Callithrix jacchus: one gene and its partners. The main gene of each other region encodes a partner of the protein of the gene in region 3 in a complex. Links are inferred from orthologs where the notes say so. Each region holds a gene or a part of one and is shown on either strand. Other genes may lie near its edges.

Evidence for each region. The genes of interacting proteins can lie anywhere in the genome.
Region 1: EXOSC9 (region 3) and EXOSC1 share a complex: the UniProt entries of both Homo sapiens proteins name them as parts of the RNA exosome core complex. The link is inferred for Callithrix jacchus from reciprocal best matches to the Homo sapiens genes EXOSC9 and EXOSC1.
Region 2: EXOSC9 (region 3) and EXOSC6 share a complex: the UniProt entries of both Homo sapiens proteins name them as parts of the RNA exosome core complex. The link is inferred for Callithrix jacchus from reciprocal best matches to the Homo sapiens genes EXOSC9 and EXOSC6.

Annotation. Positions count from the first base shown.
Region 1 is NC_133513.1:90,265,569-90,271,108, forward strand, and holds the start of EXOSC1 (exosome complex component CSL4), read right to left. Parts: upstream 3,270-5,540; 5' UTR 3,250-3,269; coding exon 3,219-3,249; intron 3,114-3,218; coding exon 2,998-3,113; intron 535-2,997; coding exon 460-534; intron 1-459. Other genes in the region: palmitoyltransferase ZDHHC16, read left to right, coding at 4,605-4,744, 5,431-5,540. UniProt on the Homo sapiens protein: Non-catalytic component of the RNA exosome complex which has 3'->5' exoribonuclease activity and participates in a multitude of cellular RNA processing and degradation events.
Region 2 is NC_133521.1:31,650,939-31,656,176, reverse strand, and holds EXOSC6 (exosome complex component MTR3), read right to left. Parts: upstream 3,270-5,238; 5' UTR 3,225-3,269; coding exon 2,409-3,224; 3' UTR 746-2,408; downstream 1-745. Other genes in the region: AARS1 (alanine--tRNA ligase, cytoplasmic), read right to left, coding at 4,012-4,197, 4,533-4,646, 4,953-5,039, 5,145-5,238. UniProt on the Homo sapiens protein: Non-catalytic component of the RNA exosome complex which has 3'->5' exoribonuclease activity and participates in a multitude of cellular RNA processing and degradation events.
Region 3 is NC_133504.1:75,882,805-75,888,400, forward strand, and holds the start of EXOSC9 (exosome complex component RRP45), read right to left. Parts: upstream 3,717-5,596; 5' UTR 3,618-3,716; coding exon 3,552-3,617; intron 3,236-3,551; coding exon 3,141-3,235; intron 2,410-3,140; coding exon 2,290-2,409; intron 2,156-2,289; coding exon 2,053-2,155; intron 477-2,052; coding exon 339-476; intron 1-338. UniProt on the Homo sapiens protein: Non-catalytic component of the RNA exosome complex which has 3'->5' exoribonuclease activity and participates in a multitude of cellular RNA processing and degradation events.

The sequences.
Region 1 (5,540 bases), on a different chromosome or scaffold from region 3:
TACTTGAAATGTGGCTAATGTGACTAAGGAAATAAATGTTTTTTTTTGTTTGTGTTTGAGAGACAGGGTCTTGCCCTGTCACCCAGGCTGAAGCAATCATGGCTCACTGCAGCTTCAACCCCCTGGGCTCAAGTGATCCTCCTGCCTCAGCCTCCCAAGTAGTTAGGACCACAGGCATGTGCTACCATGCCTGACTAATTTTGATTCTTTTTGTAGAGATGAGGTTTCACTGTTTCCCAGGATAGTCTTGAACTCTAGGCTGAAGCAATCCTCCTGCCTTGGCCTCTGAAAGTGCTAGATGCAGTATGAGCCACTGCACCCAGCCAGAAATAAATTTTTAATACTGTTTAAGTAGCCATATGTAGCTTGTGGCTATCATACTGGACACTGCAGTTCTAGCATGATCATGATTTCAGTATTGAAAGGGCATTCAAAGCATGGAGGTTAGAACCGTCTTACCTTACAGGTTACAATAGCTCCCACATCTGGCAGTAATTGGGACTCTGTTTCTCTCATTACAGACACCACAGGAAGCTACAGAGGGAACAACAAAAAACTGAAATGTCCTGGCTAACCCTTGGGTCAAGGCATTTGTGGCTTGAGAGTAACATAGGAATGCCTTAGTACACAGTTGAGAGTTGGAGTACAGATTCATTTATAGCCCAGAGCAGAAGACATTAGAAACTTTAGGAAATAGTAGGAAAAAGAGGTTACAGAATGCTGCTAAGACATAAATCTCACTATTCTAGATGAGTTCTAGTAAGTTTTTTGGTGATTCTCTTGGAATTTCTTGGTATACAACTATATACTGCCTATAATCATGGATAATTTTTTTCTTTTTTTTTTTTGAGATGGAGTTTCACTCTTGTTGCCCAGGCTGGAGTCCAGTGGCACGATCTCGGCTCACTGCCACCTCCGCCTCCTGAGTACAAGTGATTCTCCTGCCTCAGCCTCCTGAGTAGCTGGGATTACAGGCACGCGCCAACATGCCCAGCTAATTTTTTGTATTTTTAGTAGAGACGGGGTTTCACCATGTTGACCAGGATGGTCTCGATCTCTTGACCTCGTGATCCACCCGCCTCGGCCTCCCAAAGTGCTGGGATTACAGGCTTGAGCCCCCGCCTGGCTGAAATTCCCACAAAAATGTTACATAATAGTGGCCATGCTTGTTTTCTTCTATTTTAAGTGAATAGCTGCATTTGCTCTTTGAGCATGGTATTGGCTGTTGGTGTAAGACAGATAGTTTGAACCTCATCTTTTATCAATCTCTCCCTTGGTCATGATGCTTCAGCTCTCCTGGCCTTCTTTCAGTTTCTCTGACTTACTAAATTCTTCCCACTTTTGGATCTCTCTTCAACCCGTTCTTTCTACCAGAACTACACTCTCTCCACCCACCCAACTCTTACTTACTCTTTAGATGATTCAGCTTAAATGTCACTTCTGCTGACTAGGGTGGGTTTGGTTGTTACATGTTTTCAAGGTGCCCTGTAATATTCTTTTAAGCAGTCACCAAATATGTAACCATATACAATTTAAGCATTTATTTTACAATTTGTGTCTGTGTCCTTTGATAGCAGAAACCAAGTCAGCGCTGTGCCTGACACATGAAAACACTCAGATGGTATCTGTGAAGTGAAGAAACTCAGGACTGTTAAGGACATTCCCAAGAATGACTGAATAGAAAGCCCCTTGAATCAGACAGCTTAATTTACTTACTCAAAGCAGAATCAAGGTCTAGTTAGCTAGAACCTATGTGTTCTAATTCTGAATCCTCTATTGTGCTCCTTCAAATATTGCTTATGCGATCCTGAGCTAATCCTAGATCAATTTCTGATTTTTTTTTTTTTGAGACGGAGTTTCGCTTGTGTTACCCAGGGGCTAAAGTGCAATGGCGCTATCTCGGTTCACTGCAACCTCCGCCTCCTGGATTCAGGCAATTCTCCTGCCTCAGCCTCCTGAGTAGCTGGGATTACAGACATGCGCCACCATGCCCAGCTAATTTTTTGTACTTTTTAGTAGAGACGGGGTTTCACCATGTTGACCAGGATGGTCTCGATCTCTTGACCTCGTGATTCACCCGCCTCGGCCTCCCAAAGTGCTGGGATTAGAGGCTTGAGCCACCGCGCCCAGCCCGATCAATTTCTAAAACTAGAAAGTTTGGTATTATGCATTCAACAAACATTTATTGAGGAGCTGCCTTGTGCTAGATACTGAATGTATGGTGGTAGGGCCTGCTTTCATGGAACTTAGATTCAAGCAGTGGAGAAGTCTGGTGGGAATCATATACCTGAGTTTCTAATCATATGCTGACATAAATGCTTGGAATAAAAGGAACAGAGGTCTTTGTGAGTCTTAAACAAAACAAACAAAAACAAAACACCCCACAAAACCCCTTTCCTCAATTAGTGGGTCCAGAAGGGCTTCTCTGAGAAGTTGATAGTACAGAAGCTATCTAAAGGAGGTAGGAATTAAATGGGCCTAGGAAGACAGAAGCGTTCCAGATAGATGAATGTTACAAAGGCTCTGTAGCAGGAGAAAGCTTGGCACCTTAGCGACATTGAGAGAAGCTAGTATGTTATAAATTTTTTAAAAAAGGGCAAGCAGAGACTGTGATTATAAATTTTAAAAACAGAAAAGACAGTATGACTAGATTGCGTCAGTGAGGTGGAGATAGTGGCGCAAGATAAAGCCGGAGAGATAAGCGACATTCATACAGTATGCAACTCACTGCTGGGCTGGGCTGGGTTACTGAGTTCACATCTGCTTTTGTCCCAACCTCCCTCCCCAAGAGTCAGCAGCACAACCAAGCGAGATCAACACAACTAGTTTGTGGTGTCCAAGTGCACAACGGCGGCGATCACGGCTAGAAGAAACTAAGACCAAGGTTGTACCGGTGAGGCACTAAAGACACGTCCGCAGTGGCCATGCCTAAGGACTGGAACTTAATGAAAGCCTAAGTGAAAAGAGAGAGAGGAGACGGCAAGCCGCTCCCTTTACCGCGCCGTTCTCGCTGCTCTTCATCAGGCAGCCGGCAAGCGACGAAAAGATGTAACCGTGGCGGGTGTAGGTGCCACTGCCCGGGCTGCCCTCCTCCAAGTTACACAGACGTTCGCCTGCAGAAAAAATGCTCTATCAGTCACTGGCCCCCAGAAGCTATAGGCCGTCCAGCCTTCCAGCTTCGACCTCTTTCCAGGACTCTACGGGAAGCGCTCTCTTACCGGGAATGCAGTATCTGACGGGTGGCGCCATGATTGCCGCTGTCCAAACCCGGATGGAAACGAAGTCGACTTCTCATTGGCCAAACCCAGGCACAGTTCCGCAGTAAGACTTGCGTCAATTGGTGTTCTTTATCACGTGATCTGTAGGAGCGCCTCCTTGCGGGTAAACTCAATTTCCCAGATTACCCCGGGACAAATCCGGGGGCGGAACTTCAGAGCTCCACGCTTGCGACTGCGCCTGTGGTTGAGGATGGGCTGGCGGCGGGTCCGGTTGCGCTGGCTGGCGCTGCGGGCTGCGTGCCATGGTGGGTTGGATTGAGCCCGGCCCGGCCGGGGCGCCGAGTCAGAAGGGGTGGCAGTGAGCGGCGGCAGAGGCTGCGGGGCTCGGTTTGGCTGACTGGGGAGTCGGCAGGCGGCAGGTAAGGGCGAAGCCTCGGCCCTTGCTCCCAATCCTAGTCCCTTTTTTTGGGTCGGGCACTGCCCTGAGGCCTTGTCTTGAGTCCGGGTTCCTGCTCTCTCCCCGCCCCGCCCTGCGGGGCCGTGTCTTCCTCCGCCGGAGCACACCTTCCGAGCAACCGTTAGGCATAGAGCCGGAAGGAAGGAGGTCAAGCGACCCCCTCCATTTCACAGATAGGGAACCTCAGATTCAGAGACAGGGTTTGGCTTGTCCAAAATCTTGAAGATAGTTAAGATAGAGCCCAAACTGGAACCCACGGTTTTTGACTTACAGACCGTCGCAGTTTCACCTCGTGGCTCTCATTGAGAAATAAAACCTTTTCCTGTTTGTTTGTTTGTTTTTTTAAATATATACGGGGTCTCGCTCTGTCGCCAGGCTGGAGTGTAGTGGCGTGATCTCGGCTCACTGAAATCTACGCCCCCTGGGTTCAAACAGTTCTGCCTCAGCCTCCCAAGCAGCTGGGATTACAGGCGTGTGTCACCGTGCCTGGCTAATTTTTGTACTTAGAGACAGGGTTTCACCTTGTTGGCCAGCCTGGTCCCGAACTCTTGGTCTCAGGTGATCCACCCGCCTCGGCCTCCCAAGGTGTTAGGATAACAGGCGTGAGCCACCGCGCCTGGTCCTTTTCCCGGTTTTTTAAACCGCAGCTTTCAGTCCTGCGTTCTGATCCTCTTCACGGCCCCCCATCCCTACTTCAGTGAGCTTTCTCAGGTTGAAAAAGTCGAGCTCTGGTTGTGTGGGCCCCTCATGAAAAGATGAGCAGCCCCAAAATAAAGTTGCTATTCTTTTTCTTCTCAGCGTGTTAGCCCAGAAGGGAGATCTGCACATGAATAAAATGCTACTCTTCATTGATGTCTGGTATCTCCTACTTGGAATTGCAAACATCCTAAGAGCAGCGTCTTTGATCTCAGTTGTTCACCTGACTTCTGATGGCGTTTGCCGTGTGTCCCTGTTCCCTCAGTCGACTTTCCCCTTGGGAAACAGATGGTGACTTAGAGCCATGGGAAGAAGGGAGGCTGTGGCCTGTAGTCTCCTCCAGTCTGGTGGCAGATCATGACTATGGCCTGTGGTGACTACTCTGAGGGATCACAGTACTCGGGGCTTCTGCTTGGGGTGGTAGTGAGGCTACACTTTGCCCTTCTTCCCCCCACACATCTTTCTGAATTTTGCTTTACCTCAGTGTCCTGAGATGAAAAGTCTATGTGTTCAGTTGTAGCCCACTTACTACATATATCATTTTCCTGGCATCCCCTACCCCATTAGCTAAAGGGGAGAGGCCCTAGCCTCAGACTTTGTTCACCTAAATCTGTATCTATGCATTTAGGAGTTTTTTATTTTTCTTCTTATTTTTTTTTTGAGATGGAATTTTGTCCCTCTTGCCCAGGCTGGAGTGCAATGGCATGATCTGACTCTCCACAACCTCCACCTCTCAGGTTCAAGTGATTCTCCCACCTCAGTCTTCCATGTAGCTGGGATTACAGGCATGCACCTCCATGCCTGGCTTATTTTGTATTTTTAGTAGAGACGGGGGTTTCTCCATGTTGGTCAGGCCAGTCTCAAACTCCCGACCTCAGGTGATCTGCCCGCCTTGGCCTCCCAAAGTGCTGGGATTATAGGCATGAGCCCCCATGTCCGGTGTCTAGGAGCTTTTCACATAGTTGGGCTGATTTCTGGTTGAACTTGTTTTAAAAAACAACTTCTAGCTCCTAAGTGCTATGATGTTAATAATAGTTTGTATTTCTCTTTATTAATCAGGAAGAATGATAGCAGCAGACACTTATTTAGTGTTATCACATTGGCAGGAGTGTCCTTGTTGGTATTTGTAGGACTGATAGACATCTGGCTGGACTTTCCACTTCTGCATC
Region 2 (5,238 bases), on a different chromosome or scaffold from region 3:
CCCCAAAGCCCTTGTGTGAGACCTGGCTGGTAAGCTTGTTAAAACCCAAGCCCCTCTTCCGGGCCCCATCTCCACCTGCCGTTGCTGGGTCTCCAGCTGTCCCATGCCCCACCCCCAGAAGCTATGGCACACAGACCTTCCTGGAACTGGTAACAGCCCTCTGTGTGAAATTAGAGGGCCCCAACATTCCCTGCTCTACCATCACCTCCACTCTCGGTGGTCTGAGGCAGGCCACGCCTGGCCTACACTGTGCTGGGAGCCCACCCCCATCCACCCACACAGCTCTGTTCTTGGCCTGCTGGGCTCGGGAGAGCTCTCTCTGCTGCCCAGGGCCTGAGTCACACCTGTAACATTTGAATGGGCACATCTCCATGTAGAAAAAATGCTTTCTTTTGCCTGGTGGTTCTGAGTTCCTAGATCTGAGGTGCCAAAGCTCTGGGGAAATGGAAAGTGGGTGCAGAAAGACTAGGTGCTGTGGGCCCCTCCTTTCCTAGCCCATGCCTCCTGCCCCTCCACTAACGTCCTGCTTCTACTTTCCCTACAGGTGGAGGACCACGCATAGGACCAGGACAGCCAAGAGGAAGCAGGATCTCCTCCAGGCTCATCAGCTCCGGGCGTTCTGGGGTAGGTCCTTGCCTTGCCTAGGTTGTGAAGGCCTCCTGGTAGCACCCATGCAACCTGAGATACCCGTTCTGGAGCTGGGTCAATAGAAGAGAACACAGGGCTTGGCCAGAAAAGCGGAAGGTTCACTGTTGCAGCAGGTTTAGCTTCTTAGGAGGTTACATTTCACGATGACAGCCATGGGACTGACAGCGTTAGGAGGGAGGTAGCCTGGGACTGTACCAGGTCGCCATCCTCATGAAGCTGAGGCTGTCTTCCAAGGGACAGCTGACAGCCCACCCCCACCCCACCCCAGCACTCAGGGGCAATCCTCAGTCCTGAGTGCAGACACGGCCACAGCTGCTCTTCACTCCCCTCTGGATGCACCAACAGCCAACAGATTTCCCTGGGATCCCAGTCTCCCTCCCTGCCCGAAACAGCCGGAAGGTCCTCGGCGTACACCCCACACCACCCTCTTGGGGCTCCAGACTCGTCATCCACTCTCCAAAGCCATCCTTCAGAATAACATGAGCTGTCTCCACTGGTGTGATACCATTTCAGACCTGCTCTGGAAAGGTAAGTCAAAAGGGAAAAAATAAAATTCATAAATCTTTTTCCTGGTCAAGGCTTCTTGGTGTGGCTCCAGAAACTCATTCTGGTCCTTGGGCTGCCCGGCACCGGCCCTTCCCCGAGAAGCCGAGTGCAGAGACCGGACCAGGCTGCCCTGCCTTCTCAATGGCAGTCACCTGGCTGCGTCCAGAGCAGCCTTGAGACCAGACCAGCAGATCTGGGAGCCACACAGGAAAGACCCCACCCTCGTGGTGAGTCAGGCCGGTTCTGCCCTATGGAGCAGCCAAGCCGTACCTGGCTTTCCTGGCAGTTCACCTGCCCTCTCTGGGCGTTGCTCAGGGTTTTCCTCCTAGGACCAAGGCACCACGTGAAGACGGCCCAGGACACCACTTCCCACCGGCTGTGGAGGCCTCTGGTTGTGCCGTTCTCCACATGGCCAAGGACAGATCTGGCTTCCACCCAGAGCAAAACCCATTCCAGCTACCCAGCCGAGTTGGGTCTTGCCCAGTACCAAACCAGGGTGGGGGGCTGGGGTGCACTCAGCGCGCCGCTGGGGCCATACAACTCTTCCTACTTTTGTCATATCTCAGCAGCTGTCCTGTCTCTGGTTCGTGTGGGGGCAGCTTCTCCTTCTATAAAGCACAGGGCCCACATCCAGTCCTGCAGCTGTTCTTTGCAGCCTATCTGTCCCGTTCAAGTTGGTCTAAGGAACGGGACCGGTTAAAGGCACCGCGGTCACGGCCCCTTGCCACCTGGGATGTAAGAACAAAGAAGCCGTGCTCTCTAAAATCCTGGACCAAGAAGAATCACAACAGAAGACGCTTTTCAGATATAGAAGTGTTTTTCTTTTGGCTCAGACACGGTGAGAAGGCACAGCCTCTTGTCCAACCTCTCAAAAGTCGCCCAGTTACGTCAGAGGGAGTCTCTGGCTGGCGGTGCAAAGGATCTATCCCTTAAATGACTACAGTTCCCAGATACCAGCTTCCAGGTAAGTTCCAAGTTTCCAGCCTGGAAGTCAGGCTGCGCTCACAGGTGTTCTCAACTGGGTCGCAGCTGAGAGCCGGCTAAAGGAGGAAAGTTCCTTTAATGAGGTTTGTAAAAAGCCCTTCCACCACCACAGCTGTCTGGCGCCTCGGCTCTGTTTCAGCCTCTCCAGGTGCTCTCCGGGGCTCCTGCTGCATATCTCGATGCAGGCTCGAGGCCCACGGCACGGGTCTCGGCGTGGCGTCCGTCGTTGTTCAGGGCGGGGCGGCGCCCCTGCGACGGGCAGCCCGCACCAGGCACTGCTGCAACACTGGATAGAGGCGCTGGCAGCCCTCGAGGCCAAGGCGTACGGCCTCCGCCCAGCTCTCGGTCAGGCCACCCTCCCCGCTACCCAGCAGCCCAGCCACCTGATTCAGGACGGGCATGAGTGCCACAGTGAGACCGGCGGCGGCGCGCTCCTCCTCGAGCCGCGTGGGGTCCAGTAGCCAGGTGGACGCGGGCCCCGGAGCGAGGCTCAGGCCGCAGCCCACCACCAGGTCGTACATCTCCACGCCCGCATCGGCCAGGGCGAGCGCAGCGGCGGTGAGCGCGGCGGCCAGGGCTGAGCCCCCGTCCTCCAGCAGCAGCGCAGACACCTCGAGCTGTGCACGCGGGTATCGGCCCAGGCGCACCGCTGGCTCCAGCGCCTCCTGCAGCGCCAGCGCCAGCTCACGCTCCTCACCGCCGCCCTGGGGAGCGCGGCGCCGGCGCCCCGCGAAGGGGGCGCGGCGGAAATCGCAGAGCAGTCGACCACGCAGCGCGGCCGGGGCCTCGCCACCCGCTCCGGCCGGGCCGCCCCCGCGCTCGCCGCCCTCGGCCTGGCGCGGGCCCGACACCGCGCACAACACCTTGGTGCCTCCTGCCTCCAGGTAGGCTGAGCCCTTGGCTTGGCTCAGCAACCCCGCGCGAGCGTACACGGGTCGCAGCCGCGTCGGGTCGCGAGCGGCGGGCGCATCCTCTTCGTCGGCCGCGTACAGCTGCGGCGGCTGTGATTCCTCCGGGCCGCGTATACGGCGGTGGTCCCCAGGCATCACGGCGCCTGGCGTGCGACCTGCTTCCGGCCGCTGCTCCACCACGCACACCAGCTCTTCCGCTGCTTAAAGATGCGCGCCTGCGCGAAGGATGTCGGGGAGCAGCCGGCTTCGCTATAGCGCCCTCTGAAGGCCTGGAGGGAGAACGGCCGGCGTCCTCAAAGCCTTGGTGCCGCTAGTGCAGGGCATGTGGCGTTCATACATACAACGGGGGCGGGGGGCGGCAGTTAGAAGAAAGAGGCTTCTCTGCTTCCACCCCTCATTTTCTGTTGAATTATGAACACCTCCCTCTATGTCACCTATTTGGCTTCCATCGCCACAAACGGTTGAGGCAACCACAGGGGCTACTCCCAAAATTCAGAGTTCTGGGGCTAGACAGTGAATACAGCAGCAGCCAGCAGGAGTCACAGCATTTATTCTAGACAGCAGGGGCCACAGGCTGTGGAAACGGCGCGCCCCCATTGGGAATGGGTAGAGATCCTGCGGCGTCAATTATTGCACATGGTCCTTTATTCTCTGCAGCGAAAATGATTCCCATTTGCTAACCCAGACAGCTCAGGTCTGGAGAGCTGTCCGCTCCAGATGCCTATCGATGCACAACAGCAATGCTGGGGTACTCAGGGCAGACATATAAGGAATACTGGGTCACAGGACCTCTTCCAGTTACCGTGGGGTTAGGAAGATGGTGGGAGCTCTTTAAAGGTCCCAAGATTCTAATGTTCTTAGAGCAGAGGAGGAACTCCTGGCTGGACCTATGGATCCAGTGCCAAACTCCTCCTTCCCCACCTCAGTTCTTCACATCCCCGAGGTGCAGCTGGGCAAAGGAAGTGGCCAGCTGCAGCGCCTCCTGCAGGCAGCCAACGTTCTTGCCTGTGGCCTGCGCAGACACATCCTTGCCACCACCCTTACCATCCATCAGGCCTGATACCTGCTGCACCCACTCGCTGGCTTTTAGGCCCCTATTGGCTGCATTCTGGAAGAAAAGAAGGGAAGGGGGAGTTAGGACACAAGATAAATGAGGAATGGAGGAAAAGAAATGCAGGAGCCATCCCCCACTCCTGCCCAGGGTGGTGATGCTGGCAGCCGAGACACGCTTAACAGCTGGTAAAGGGGGAAGTCATAGCCACAGCCAGGAAAGGACAGAGTGGCAAAGCCAAGTATCAACCAGACATCTTCACCAATGAGAAGGCCGGGGTAAAGGGCAACAGGTGTCTAGTTTCAAATGCCGATTGTGAACACACAGGCCTCAGGAATAAGCTTAAGACCTACACTGCCCCCCTGGTGTGAAAGGTCGTAGGCAGTTCTGACCTGGGGGACTTGACACAGGCACGTGATTTTGCCAGCCTCATTATCCACAGTGAAGAGCATGGCAGACGTCTGAGGGGAGTGCATCTTGAAGAGCTTCAAAGCTTCATTCAGGGCCTGCGGGGGGTGGGAAGAGCTGGCTCAGGCCACGGTGCTGGAGCAGGTACCCTGCTCTCCACTCAGGTGAGAGCCTGCAGTCCACAGCAAGACCGCCACACACCCCCAACCCCACCCAAGCGTGCCCCACACATGCAAGGAGCTGCTCCTCTTCCCACCCAGAGCCAGATCACCCCAGGGCTCAGTCCCACCTAAATCCCAGATAGGGGGCCCCAGATAACCCCTTGGCTAAGAGCCACAGAGGACGCGTATCAGCCACCAGAGGGCTGCTGAGCCCCAGGGTAAGGGCCCCGGTCCCTAGGTTACCTTGGCTGAGGCACCACTCTCCATCTCCAGGATGACAAGGGGCTGGTTGGGGTTGCTGTCAATAAGCTGCTTTGTCTTCTCCAATACCTGCAGGAGAAAAGTCCAGAAAAACAGCAGGCTCTGAAACCCAGGCCCAATCCTGCTGGCCTTTGCCTAGAAACCGCTCTGGCCACCGGCACTGCCAGGACTCACTCGCTTCTGGACATCAGCTTTGCTGGCGCGGTCCAGGTCATCCATGACCTTCTTTAGGGATTTGAGAGTCTCCCGCAATTCGTCCTTCTGCCAC
Region 3 (5,596 bases):
TAAGCAACTCACTGTGCTGAGAGTCATGTATTTTTCACACATACGGCCCCTAAATATAAGTCAACCAGTTCATCTAATAATGCTCAATCCACAAGAGTCATCAATTCTATTCTGGAAAACCAGGCTAGGGTATGTTCTTACTGACAGATGTTTCAATAGAGGGAATGTAAGAGATTTCAAGGGCAATTTTCACGATGTGCAGTTTTAGTCTTATGAACAAATTTTAGAACCAACCAAGTTGCCATTTGCAACATAACTTCACTAAAAGCAAGTTGCCTACACATTTAGGACAATCCTCATTCATTCATATCAAGGATCCTGATCACATAAGAGCTTACCAGTGTTACTTCATCTCCTTGGACAGAGACATCAGGTCTTCGGAAGTGACATAAGGCCACGATTGCAGCAACGCTGGCAGCATCAATAATATTTCCATCATGATTTAATAAATGTAGGTCTACACGTATTTGCCAAACCTGAAAGTGAATTTTAAAAAAATAAATCCTGATTACAATGAGTGGCTATTTATCAGGAAAAGTAACGTCGTGTACAAATTTTTTCTTGCTTTAAAACAGGCAGTTACTCCTTCTAGTTCGTCAACAAAAAAATACATTTTAGAAATTTTAAGTCAAACATCTGAAATACTGTGTGAGTCATTTAACAACAGTAAAACACATACTTTAAATAAACAGAACCACTCTAACACTTAATACTAAGATTTTCCTAACCTCAAATCTAATGATACTTTTATCATGTGTGTTAATTTAAAAACCACAAACCCTAGGCCAGGCACAGTGGCTTACACCTATAATCCCAGCACTTTAGGAGGCCAAGGTGGGAGAACTGCTTGAGCCTAGGAGTTTGAGACCTGCCTGGGCGACACAGCAAGACCTTATTTCCACAAAAAGAAAAAAATGTTTTTTAATTAGCCAGGTGAAATGGCATGCACTGTAGTCCTAGCTATTTGGGAGGCTAAGGCAAGAGGATCCCTTGAGCCCAGGAGTTTAAGGTTACATTGAGATATGATGACACCACTGCACTCCTGCCTGGAAAAGAGTGTCACCCTATCCCTAAGAGAAAATAATAAATAAAAAATTTTTAAAAGTTAAACTTTTAGGTTTTGTGATATTTTTAATAAGGGTACAAGTAATGCAAATAGGAAGTATTATACTTAGGTATGGAATATGGAAAGCTAAATGATTTCTGTGGAGTAAAAAGCTTGTCAAAATACCTTAATCAAGAATCAAATTCTGGCCAGGTACAGTGGCTCATCCCTGTAATCTCAGCATTTTGGGAGGCTGAGGCAGGTGGATCACTTGAGGTCTGGAGTTCAAGACCAGCCTGACCAACATGGTGAAACCCTGTCTCCATTAAAAATACAAAAATTAGCTGAACGTGGTGGCAGGTGCCTGTAGTTCCAGCTGCTCGGAAGGCTTGAACAGGGGAGGCAGAGGTTGCAGTGAGCTGAGATTGCACCACTGCAGTCCAGCCTGGGCAACAGAGGGAGACTCTGTCTCAAAATAATAATAATAATAATACAATTCTAATATCCGAATGCAGCACAATTTACTGGGACTAAGATTTCCAAAGTTATCCCTGCTACTGACATGATGTGGCCCTGTGTAAATCGATAAACCTATCAAAATGAGTGATTTCATCTGTTCTTGAGTTCTGCATGAAAAAAGAAAACTACCTGCTTCTATGAACTCATGTAGGTAACATAAGAAAATACATGAGAGATTATATGAAAAAGCCACAAGTTCTTTAAATAAAATATTTTACACACAAATCTAAGTTACTATTTTTACCCTTTAAAGATAAAGCTTTTTGTCCCTTCAGAGAGAGAGAGATGGCACAAAGTTCTAAGGGTATCACATCTGAAGTGAAGTGAACCAGTACAAAACTGAGTTAACGAAAGTTCTGAGAATAAAAACAGACACTGGGATCCGTGAATCAACAATATTTATCCTAAGATTAAGAATTTTGGGCATATTCTCCATTCCATGTGATTTGGGGTTAAAAAAAAAAAAGAAATTTGGGCATATTCCCCACCTTTTCGCCAGCAACAACACAGAGAGATTCAGTGTCTATACACTTCGAATTTCTTAGACATCTTTCCAAGAGTCGATTCAACTTCACCAAGAGATCTGACTGCCTATAATAGGAAAATAGGACGGGGCTAATGTCATGAAATACAACACCAGGTATTCAAAAAAAAAAAAAAAAAAAAAGGTCACTACTGTGAGGTCCTCCTATGACTAAAGTAGCTTAAGAAAAAGATTTAAATACCTGCCAGGTTCAAAAGCTGGAGCGGCCATCTGAGAGAGTTCAAGGTTAAAAAAAAGAATACCTTCTGTTGCCCTATTGAGTTTTGGAGCCACAAGTTCACAGGAAACCTGTCCAAGAACTCTGAAAAGATAAAGGAACAAAGTATTAACTAAATAGATCTTCCTTCCAAAAAAAAAAAATCTGAAACAGCAGGTTTCAACCTTACTGAGTAATATCACACTCAGCCAAATATATCATAGGAGATATAATTATATATAAAGTATAATATACACAGAAATAAAACATAAATTGATACACCTAAAAACACAACAGAAAAAAAATCTTATTACAATGTTTACTATTCCACAGATTGTTTTAAAAATCAATGACCTTTACCTCTAAAGCAAGTATTTATTGATACAAGATGGCATGAAAACTTGAGATTTCTTAAGGGTTTTCACATGGCATCGTTCACCACTATTATCTAACCAAATAGTCTCACAACTTTAAAATGAATATCAGAAAACCTAATTTTCATGTCACTCAGGAAAAAGAGGAAAGCAGGATGTATACTTAATGACAAGATGCTCAAGATCTCTATACTAGTATGAGAAACAAATTCAGTGTGGTCACTACTGGTTGTCTATACGATGTATAGAAGTCAGAAAGAACTATGTGATACGTGACAGAAAATAGGTTTATGATTACAAATTTCAATAGTGACCACAAAACCAAAAAATCTTGCATAAAAAAATACTTACTTTTGTCAGCTCAACAAAGGATACCGTCCAGACTTCTTAGCTGGTTTATAAACATATGTCTTTTTAAAAACTTCTCCCTTTTGAATGTATATATTATTTAAATTCTGTTACCTTGTTTTTCCAAGTTCCACAATGCAACATCCGTAATCGGTTCCAAATGAGATCCTGATGTTCCGATAATCATAGGTTTGTCTGCCATCCAGCCGCTGTAAGCACAAATTCATTCATTTATTCCTTCAACAAGTATTTCTTAAGCAATTACTTTTTCTGGCTCTGGGCTAAGCACTTGGAGGAAAGTGAAATCCTAACCATCCCGCCCATATAGAAAAGCGGAAACTACAGCACAGACAACTGCTGGGAGCCTTGAAAAGAACCTGTCGAAAAAACAATAATAAAGCCTGAGGGTTGGGGTGCACCCGCCGGTCGCTCCCCTAGTTGCTCCCCCGGCCCAGGCGGACCGGGTTATGAGTTCACACCTTGGCGCCCAAGCAGCGCGCCAATTCTGCAGGGACCAAACCATACCTTCTTCTCTTCGATGGCACGGAGTAGGAAGCGGCGCTCGCAGTTTGAAAGTGGCGTTTCCTTCATGGTGTTGGGTCCCGGGTCCCACTGGCACTAAAATCCGCGGGGGAAACGGAACGTGACTCCTGAAGCGCCGCTGCCGGTCCCGCGGCGCAGAAAATTTACGTCATCGAAGCGCGGCGGCGGAAAATGAGAAAGCAAGGGCTCTGGCCTTCGCTACTGCGCAGACTCTTAACAGTGAATAGGGCAAGCCAATGCCCCTTATGGTGGCTGTTTTTGAACGTGAAGTTTCGTTTCTTTGCTCATAAAGTGCGGAGGAGAAAAGGAAACTTACAATAACCATCAGAGTGATAGAAATTAATATCAGTAGACCGCTCTCACACTCCACCTTTCGCTCAGTCCTTTCTCGGGGTGGAGACTAGACAGATACTATTGCTATTTTACAGATGAATTAACATTGGCCCCTAGAAAGCCGCAGATGCAGGGTTCGGAGCAGATTCAATGAACGAGCACTGGAATGAGGGGGTATACGGGATGGTGGAGAAAGTTGACATGGTGAAACGGGATGTTATTGCTGCCAAAGGTGAAATCTTGTGGGATCTGAAAAGCTGACGAGAATAGAGAACGTTTGCACGTAATAACTAATGGCGTTACTGCTACTGTGGACGAAACTAAGTATACGTTTATTATCCGCTCCCCAGCTATTTGAAGTTGATAGACTTATTTTTACGGTCACAGAGAAACAGCGGGGCCATGCTGCCAACCACTCAGCTTTTTTGGAGAGGCAGTATCAAATAATAGTTTTAATAAGTGTTCCTTGCCAGGGTTCAAATTGTAAGTCTATTGTTAACTACTATAACCCTGGGCAAGTTGACCTATGTGCTTCACATTACTCACCTGCAAAAAAAAAAAAAAAAAGTGGGGGAATGCGAATGAGAAACCTGTGTATTATGAGGGATAAAAATGAGTTTTTATATATACATATAACGCTTAGAACAGTGCCTGGCATGGAGTAAGCACTATTTAAGTGTTTGCATATTATTATTTTGTTTCCTTTTGCTTTAGAGGGTGGTAGGCACTGTAACTCCTATGCAGGCTCTTAGGCTTCTTTGTAGCTTCTCACATTTTTTTTTTTTTTTTTTTTTTTTTTAGCAGTGATACATCTTAGTCTCACTTTGTACTACCATGTACTCAATAAATACTTGAAGAGGGCCTACTGTGTCCAGGAATAATTTGAGTGCTGGAGAAATGAGGTAGACAAGATCCCTTCTGTCAAGGAATTTATATTCTTTTTGGAAGAGACAAAAAAACCCTAAACCAAATAGAACAATTTCATACAGTGGTAAGTCTATCTGAGAATAGGAATGCTATCTTAATAGGGGTAGTTGCAGGAACAGGTGACTTTGTAGAGGTGACATTTAAGTAAAATAAATCTTTGATGTTAAGCAGGAGCAACTTTGATGCCATCTGGAGGAGAGGAAAAGTGTTTCAAGCAGAAAGAGTAACACATGCAAAAATGAGATGGGATGCGGGCTCCACATGGTCTGGAGATAGAAATTGTGAAGAAGGAGGAAAGTAGACAGAAATGATTAATTTTCAGAATCGTCAAGATTACAGTGTACAAACCACTTAAATTCTTTAACAATTTTTTTAGTGCAGTTCCACACCAAAACTCCTGATTGATAAATTCTTCATTTAAATCCTTGGGTTCTTTCAGTGGCAGTTTGATAAATTTTCCCTTCAGTGATGAAATAGAACTTTATTGAAATAGTCTGTTATTTCCTGCAAGGCAGCTTGGTAGTGGAAAGAGAATGGACTTTGACTTCAGATAAACTTCAGCTCAAATGGACTTGGAGTAAGCTAAATAATCTTTCTGATTTTGGGGTTCTGTATCTTCAGGTTGGAGATAATAATTATGCTGTGTTAAGTGGTCTGAATGAAAGCATCTAATTAAACATTTTGGACATTGTAGCTATTCAGATGTTAGTTTCCTCTTTCCTTGTTGGTTTGGCGAAGGTTCCCATGAAACTGCCCAAACTCAGCAT